Nothobranchius furzeri: one gene and its partner. The protein of the gene in region 1 interacts with the protein of each later gene in a biochemical or structural test. Links are inferred from orthologs where the notes say so. Each region holds a gene or a part of one and is shown in the gene's direction. Other genes may lie near its edges.

Region 1 (4,035 bases):
ATGGAGATAAAACATCAACGTTGCTGTTAGCCAATTAGAGGAAAAATGTCCAAATATCAGGAAGTAATCATCCTAATCCTGCCTGTGAAGCTCCGCTCTGACGTGGCTCTCTTCTAGTTCCTGAAACGGGTGCGTTCATTCGTAATAGACACCGCTGCAGATACAGTTTACATGAGTAAACTACCACTTTACTTTGGGTGAATAATTTGTACCACATGAAAAGTACTTTTTCTTTCTTTTATTCAAGTATTGTATCATAGCGTATACAGATAACACCATACCTGTTTGGTATCGACTTTACCAGGTTTTAGTGCATCATACATCAGCTTCCTGCTGCCTGTGAGGAGACGGATGCACGCACAGAGACGAGTTTCATCAGGACCAAACCTGACCGCTGCAGCCATCCAGGCAGGGTGGTGTGAGACCAATATCCTCTAGCTTCCTAGATAATAAAAGTGTGTGTGTGTGTGTGTGTGTGTGTGTGTATTTGTGTGTGTTAGCGTGTGTGTGTGTGTGTGCGGATGTGTGTGTGTGTTAGCATATGTGTGTGCGTGTGTGAGCGTGTGTGCATGTGTGTGAGCATGTGTGTGTATGAGCGTGTGTGTGTGTGTGTGTGAGCGTGTGAGCGTGTGTGTGTGTTTGCATGTGCGTGTGTGTGTGCGTATGTGTGTGTTAGCATGTGTGTGTGCGTGCATGCATGTGGGTGCGTGTATACAGGTGTGCGAGCATGTGTGTGTGTGTGTGTGTGTGTGTGTGTGTGTGTGTGTGTGTGTGTGTGTGCGCGCGTGTGTGAGCGTGTGTGTGTGTGTGTGTTTGTGTATGCATGTGTGTGAGCGTGTGTGTGTGTGAGAGCGTGTGTGTGTGTGCACCAGTCTAGTCCACAGAGAATTCCAGAAATAGACCACGGATGGTGAGACTCTCGCCTGTTTTTCTCTTTTTTTCCCCTCTGAAGGGATTTCTCGTTATTTTTTAAATCTCAAACCCGTGTTTGTGCTGATGTCTGTACACTTTATGCTCAGAATGTAAATAGATAAATAGGTGTGTGTGTGAATACACGGACCAGGTGCTGTAGAACTATAAATGCTCACAGGATGCAGAGTGAGAGAGTTATTAGTAACAGATTTAGGAGGAGGAGATGGATGCATGTTGATTGTTTTTGTGCCCCCCCCCCCCCCCCCCCAGCTTTTTATAGCCATGTCTTCCCAGGGCTCAGCAGCTACAAAAGCCTTTTCATGTTGCCACTATAATTACAGCCTACACACACATGGACATGCATGCATACACACACACTCGCTGGAGCAGCGTCTTTGTGTTGGTGTGTGCGTGCTCTGCATGTGCAGTTATACACAAAAGGGTGAGCTATTTTTACCTCCCTCCCCTCCCCTCCTCTCCATCGCCTCCTCATCCCTCTCTCCGCCGCTGCTGCTAGCCACATTTGCTATGCTGAGCACAGGCGCTATCAGTCGAGCGCCAACATCTCTCCAACTCGCTCACAAGCGAACACACACACTCACTCTCACTCACACACACCAGCTGACGAGCGCTCCCTCTGAATCCCGGCTTATTCTTTAGCTCCGTCCGAGCATCCCTGCAGACGCGCCTCAGCGTTTGCTGCTCATGGATCAGGAAGCAGCTCAGGGGCTCGGAGGTGCACAGCGGCATGTGCTCTCCACCGTGCAGATGACCTGAAGCCCCTCTCTCTCTCTCTCCCTCTCTTTCTCTCCCACCTTCTCTCTTTCTCTCTCCGACTGGTTTTAACCGCCTGATTAGCAGGTTTGTGGCTGGAAGCCCGGCTCAATGCTGCGGACCATCTTTGAAGCAGAATGCTCTCTTTCTCCCACAGAGGGAATCCTGGGAAAGGAGCCGCCGCTGGAGGTCCTCAAGACGTCGGCGCTCAACCACATCCCAACAGGTTGGTCAATCTGTGTGTGTGTGTGTGTGTGTGTGTGTGTGTGTGTGTGTGTGTGTGAGTACGTGATGTTACTATCAACCACATCCTGTGTGACTTTGCTTTTTGGATGTGAGCGAGCCGGGGACACACCGTCTACTTGACCAGGAGACACCATGTTTACATCCCCAATGTTTTATTTAAGCCGCTCCGGTGCTGCCATTTTGCTGAATGAAAATCTGGAACTCCGAATGTTTGCGCGCACGCACGCACGCACACACACACACACACACACACACACACACAGACACACACACACACACACACACACACACACACACACACACACAGCTAAACAAACCCATTGTGCCTCTCAGTCAGTTCCTGAGTCCGTTTAATGTTCCCAAAACAATCTCTTGCAGCTCCCAGTGCTATAAGTTCCCATTCCCAAGTATTCCTGAATGCAGATCCATGTTGTCCGGTAGAAATTGTACAGGAAAAGTGAGGATGAGGAGAGTGGAGCAAAACCAGAGGGGCACAGATAAGGAAGGATAAATTGGTGTTGGGATAGTGCATCCCATAATTCTGTAATAAGGAAGCTTAAACTGCTCCCAGCTTTTGGTTTTTTGCCTCCCAGGATGGTTGGGTGAGTCTAATTCCTAATTCTGACTCCCAGACAGCAGCCAACGCTCCAGCACGCTGCCGTTTCTGCTCCTAGGTTATTTTTGTTTTCACTTCCTGCTCCTGCCTCCGGCTCAGCTGATAAAATATTGAAATCCACCAGAGCATCTTCATCTGATATTCTCAGAATCTGTTGTCTTGGCTACGAAGCTGCTGGGTGGCATGTGACCCGGACCGCTTCTCCTGCACGGAGAGGAGGGTGAAGCCATCTGGGAGTCTTTAAAACGCCCTGCAGGTGAGGATCACACCTGCAGAGGCCTCCTGAACTTTAGCTCTGTGTGTGTGTGTGTGTGTGTGTGTGTGTGTGTGTGTGTGTGTGTGTGTGTGTGTGTGTGTGTGTGTGCGCACTCCCAGCACGGATCCTTTGCGTAACGCCGTTGTGTGATGTCATTAGAAGGGCGACCACCCCCCCGCCCACTGCAGCTAAAACCTGATTCTACCTGGACAACAGATGAAGTGACTGTTGGCTGCAGGACTTTTCAGAATGAGCCCTCATCTGTGCCACATCCATTAGGGCCTAAGGGGCGGGGCTTAGGCAGTCGGACCGTGGGACCCGGGCTCCACGAACCGGGCCTCCAGTCAGAACCGCCAGCCCTCGACATTGTCTGGTATAAATAGATTCACAGCAGGAGCCAGAAGAGTTGTGGAGAGCGCCGGAGGGGTCGTAAACAGATTGTGATTAGTTTGTGGAGTGTGTGTGTGTGTGTGTGTGTGCGTGCGTGTGTGTGTGAGTGTGTGTGTGTGTGTGAGTGTGTGTGTGTGTGTGTGTGTGTGTGTGTGAGTGTGTGTGTGTGCGTGCGTGCGTGTGTAGGGGGGGGGGGTATGAAGGAGTGCAGGGGTGTGCAGAGGAACCCGCTGACAGGAAAGGTCGCTGAGTTAAAGCAAACGAAAAAGCTGTCAGAATTCCCTCTGAAGGAGATTCCTTTGAATCCCGATGCCTTTTAGAGATTCCCTCTGATCCACAAACGCTCCGATCAGACTCGCAGGAGAAAAAGAAAGTGAAGCGTGTGGATTCTCTTCCCTCTGAGTCTGAGCTAAATCAGGCTGCAGATCAAAGAGGATCTTTTTTTAGACCCCCCCACCCCCCACCCCCCCACACACACCTGTCATACAGGTAAGTCTGCCCGTTGTGTAATGTCTCTGGAGCCCCCGCCCCCCGTTTGGGTCGGATGGCGGCTGCCCTCATGTCGTCCTTATCTCACACACATCAGTAAACTCCAGCTCTGGCTTGACGTCAGTGCTCTGAGACAAAGAGGTGTTCAAATCAGAGTCTATCTGTTTATCAGCGAGGCTTCTGATTGGCTGGGACGTCTGCTGTGGTAACAAAGTTCAGGATGTCTTCAAAAGCAGAAACATCTTCTGATTGGTTCTCATTAGGGACTTTAAGACTGAACCCTCAGGCTCATCCAGACCGATGCAAGGAGCCCTTCGAGACAGAAAAGAGACATTATGAGAGCAAAGGAACC
Region 2 (4,078 bases), on another chromosome or scaffold:
ATGGCTTTGATCCGCGTGTGACCCCCTAAAAGGAAGTTGTTCCTACTTGTTTCATCTCTTTTATTCGTGTGTGCAAACACGACCAACTCTGTGCTGTTAGGACGTTTCTTCAGGATTGTTGCACGTCTTTGGGTCACTTATTGTGAAATGCTACTGAAACCTGACAGCACATTCAGTTTGTTTTATAAAAATGACCCCAGCTTTGATCATGTTTTCCAAATACATCTGTTCATAAATGATTGAGTAAAAAAGGCAAAAAATAAAGGTTTATTTTTGCTAAAATACATAAAGCAGTTGTGTTTATTCACGTCCTGCACTTTATTTAGTCTTCTGTCATTTTTTTAATTTGTTAAATTGCATTTTAGTAAATCTCGGTTTGAGTTTGGACAGCAGACCTGAGCTTAAATCTAAAAGTGTTGCAGTTAATATTTAAATATTTGAATTGAAAATGAAATAAATCTGGGTTGTAGTGGATACAGACATGAAGGCAGCAGGAGGTGGAGCGGGTTGGCGGTGTTGCAGGATCGATCTCAGCTCCTGGCAAAGAGTGCTGCTGTTGTGTCCTTGGGCAAGGGCAGCTGTAGCCACAATGTAGCGCATCATCACCAGCTGTGAATGTGTGAATGGCTGATTCAGGTTCTGGGACTGGTGCCAGATTAAACACAGGCCATTTTCCATAAAACACTTCCCACCTAATTACAGAGCTTAGACACTGATGTTAGGTCAGTGAGTCAGGTCTGATGGCTCACAGGAAACCATCAGAAGTATTTAGTTTCGATATCCGAGTGCTCCGGTTTGCAGGGATTTTCTACATTTTAAATAATCCAAAACTTTATTTTGGCTCTTTGAAAATAGTTTTGGGGAAAAGAAAACTGAGGCAGAACAGGGACGGAAGGACGGCCAAACTCGGACCTCAGACAGAGTTGATTGAATCAAAAATACATCAAATCCAAACATTTAAAAAAGCAGAATTCTGAAATGATTCAAACGATCAGATAGTTCTTGGTTTTGTGTCGGAACCAGTCTGGGGGTGGTGAGCAGGACTTGTTGGGGTGTGACTCCTGAACCCCTGAGGTCCTCTAAAGCCCAGCTCCGTCCCTGTGGAGCTTCAGCCCAGCTCCTGTGGGCGAGGACGCGTCTCGCCTCTCCCTGGCCTCCAGTAACACGCCCGTTTGGCCGGAGACAGTCCCCTAGGTGTCTCACTTTCTCTCTGCTCGGACTGGAGCGCCGCGGCGGCCGCCCGCCCGCCTGCTGCTCGTCTGGCTGCGTTGACGTCAGCGGCGTGTTGATTCGCTAAGGCGAGAGAAGAAAGGAGTTAGTGCGTGTTGAGAGAGCGGGTACTGCGAACTGCCTTACTATGCTGTAGCCCCAGTCCCCCGCGCGCCACACGGACTCCAAACCTGCAACTTAGGTGAGTACCGACACCGGACACGCGGCTGCCGCTTCCCGGAGACAAGTGCCGGGCTCGCTCCTGCGCGCGCGTGTGCTTCATTTAGCGGACTTTCATTCACCATATGGATGTTTTGGGTGCGTTTGTTGCGCTCGTCCTCGGCTGACCTTCCGGTTTCATGTGCGTTTTCGTGCTGAAGTTACCAGCGACTTGGCAGTGGGTCGCGCGCGCCTGAGCGAGTCCCGGCTGAAAACAAGTGTTTACCTGATTGCGCTGCAAGGTGTTAAAGTTTGCATTAACGCACGGCAGCCTATTGCGGAGGCGCTAGGGTTGACGTAAGCCCCCTCCTCGCGCTCCTGTCTGGTTAGTATTCTGGAGAGCGGCGAGAGGACGTGAGGTCTGGCTGTGTTCACCGGGAGCCAGGCGGCTCGTGACGCCGCGCTGCGTGTCCCTTCCACGGACCGATGGCAGCGGTAAAGCGCGCGTGACGTCCCATTCCTATCCCCTCTTATTAATCCGCGGTGTGACATCACGGCGGCTCGAGACAGTTGCACCAAACCAGCGTGACTGCGCTGTCAGAGCGGGATTGACTGACAGCTAACTACATGTTTGATTAGTTCCCAATAATCGAGCTGCACGCGCCGCGCGCGCGCGCGCTGGTAACTGATTCAAATGGATTTGTTATCGAATGTGTCTGATCCTCCTCTTCCCCTTTCACTCCTTCACATCCTCACCGAGATGTGGAGCTGCCACCTGCACGCAGATCGGACCGGAACCAGGCTCGCGTGCACGTTTATGACCACCACACCCCCCACCACCAGACCATAACAACGCTCCCGCGCCTGGGGTCCGTCCGTGCGGCTCTCGCGCTGGATTATTGAACGCTGTTTATTCTTGTTGTGGCTGCGGCTCGTCAGTGCGCGCGACGGCAGACAGCTCGTGATCAGATCGATTCCGATGCTTCTCTCTCTCTCTCTCTCTCTCTCTCTCTCTCTCTCTCTCTCTCTCTCTCTCTCTCTCTGAAGTCTCTTTATTTGCTCGTTGTCCTCGCGGGACACCATCTCCACCGGCTTAATGTACTTAATGTAGTCTGCTGATTTGCGTAATGCTCGTGTAGAATGGGTCTGCAGCGGCTGGCCCAACATCCGCGCGCTGTCTAGACGCTCCTCTCTATTAATGGAGAGCAGACACAAGTGCCTGAATGGGAAGTTTGGGCTGCTCCGATGCGCGCAACAAGCACCGATCACGTTCAGGGACACAAACATTACTGATGATAATGTGGTGCTGGAGGCGTGAAGGGGCTGATCTCGGTTAGATGGGGACCTGTGGGCTCATCATTAGTGGTTTTTATTTATTTGGTTAGCCTGATGCTTTTTCTAATCTAAACTCGCAGCTCTGAGTAGAAAATGACAGGTTTGTAGTCATTTTTCTCCCAAGTTTTTATGTTTCAAGCAATAATTCAACTTATATATTTTATTTTTCTGCATATTTTATGATACTCTCATCATGACATTAAGCACTTGTAAAATCCTGCTCTAAAGTGTTAAAGTTAAAGATGAAATACACCGATTCTGATTTCTAAGGCTGATACCTTGATGATTTTATCTGATGATACTCATTTTTTTTCTCCAAACCAACTGAGACCCAGTCACTTTTTAAGATGGACCCGGTCATAAACCTGATTACGTCCATGGTCTCCTGCGCCAGAGCGAGGAAACAAGAAAAATGACAGAATTTCCATGTAAACTGCAGTCAGCTTTAAAACGCTGAGGATGCATTTGCACGTTTCTTTTTTGACTAAAAACTGCTGAAAAGTTTCTGTCATTGCTCATGAAGCTGACTGAATCAGTGAGTTCACCCAGAATGTGGGTCAGTTGAGGTGGTTAACCAGCATTCATGCTTTCGTCCTCCGGTGGGGCAGACCATTAAACCAGACTAAACCAGAAGCAGCCAGAGGCGTCTATGTTTTACGTCCACGTTCTGCTAATTCAGTCTGAACCTGTCCTGGTTTATCTGGCGCGGGTCAGACGCGCTCCAGTAATGAGGTGGAGCAACACGTTGCCCTGTTAACGTGAATAATGAAATCACCAGCAGCCACAGAGATGTTCATTCATTTGAGATTTCAGCGGCTGAGAGCCGAGCGGAGCGTTTAAGTGCAGCAGTGCTTTTTGCCTCATCCTGCTTTTCTCTTCCACCCCTGTCTGGCCGCTGCTCTCTGCTCCCGTCTGTGATGGGAATACTGAGTAAGATGCTATTTAATGTTGGGAAGGCTGCTGACGGTCCCTGCGAGCCAAGCAGCAGTGAAAGCCCACAATGCTCCCTTGTTTAACTGCACGTCCCCGTCAGATAAGCAAACGAAGACATCTTTTAACGTAACATATGTCAGGTTGATTGGTATGCAGGATGAGCCTGTTGGACAGCTAACAAATCGTCTCCCTTCAGAAAATACTGTCAATACTCGGCGCTGGTCTCCAGAACAATGCCGCTGCACAGATTGTTTACCAGCCCTGCAGGATATTTGCAATTTGAGACTCCAGCGGCTTCCCGTTTTTCCCGTTTACATAATAAACCGGATCCTTTCATGGTTAAATAAATACACATATTCTATAACCGGTAATTGAGCTGATGGTTCTGCAAATATGACAAATTGGCAACACTTGTTGACTTTAAACACGAATGGTTTTCCTT

What was found. The genes of interacting proteins can lie anywhere in the genome.
Region 2: the proteins of histone deacetylase 4 (region 1) and zbtb16a form a complex in vitro, tested with the Homo sapiens proteins (2 studies listed by BioGRID). The link is inferred for Nothobranchius furzeri from reciprocal best matches to the Homo sapiens genes HDAC4 and ZBTB16.

What each region holds. Positions count from the first base shown.
Region 1 is NC_091754.1:47,244,973-47,249,007, reverse strand, and holds the start of histone deacetylase 4, read left to right. Parts: upstream 1-1,235; 5' UTR 1,236-1,797; coding exon 1,798-1,912; intron 1,913-4,035. UniProt on the Homo sapiens protein: Responsible for the deacetylation of lysine residues on the N-terminal part of the core histones (H2A, H2B, H3 and H4).
Region 2 is NC_091750.1:30,173,812-30,177,889, forward strand, and holds the start of zbtb16a (zinc finger and BTB domain-containing protein 16-A), read left to right. Parts: upstream 1-1,278; 5' UTR 1,279-1,411; intron 1,412-4,078. UniProt on the Homo sapiens protein: Acts as a transcriptional repressor. Transcriptional repression may be mediated through recruitment of histone deacetylases to target promoters. May play a role in myeloid maturation and in the development and/or maintenance of other differentiated tissues.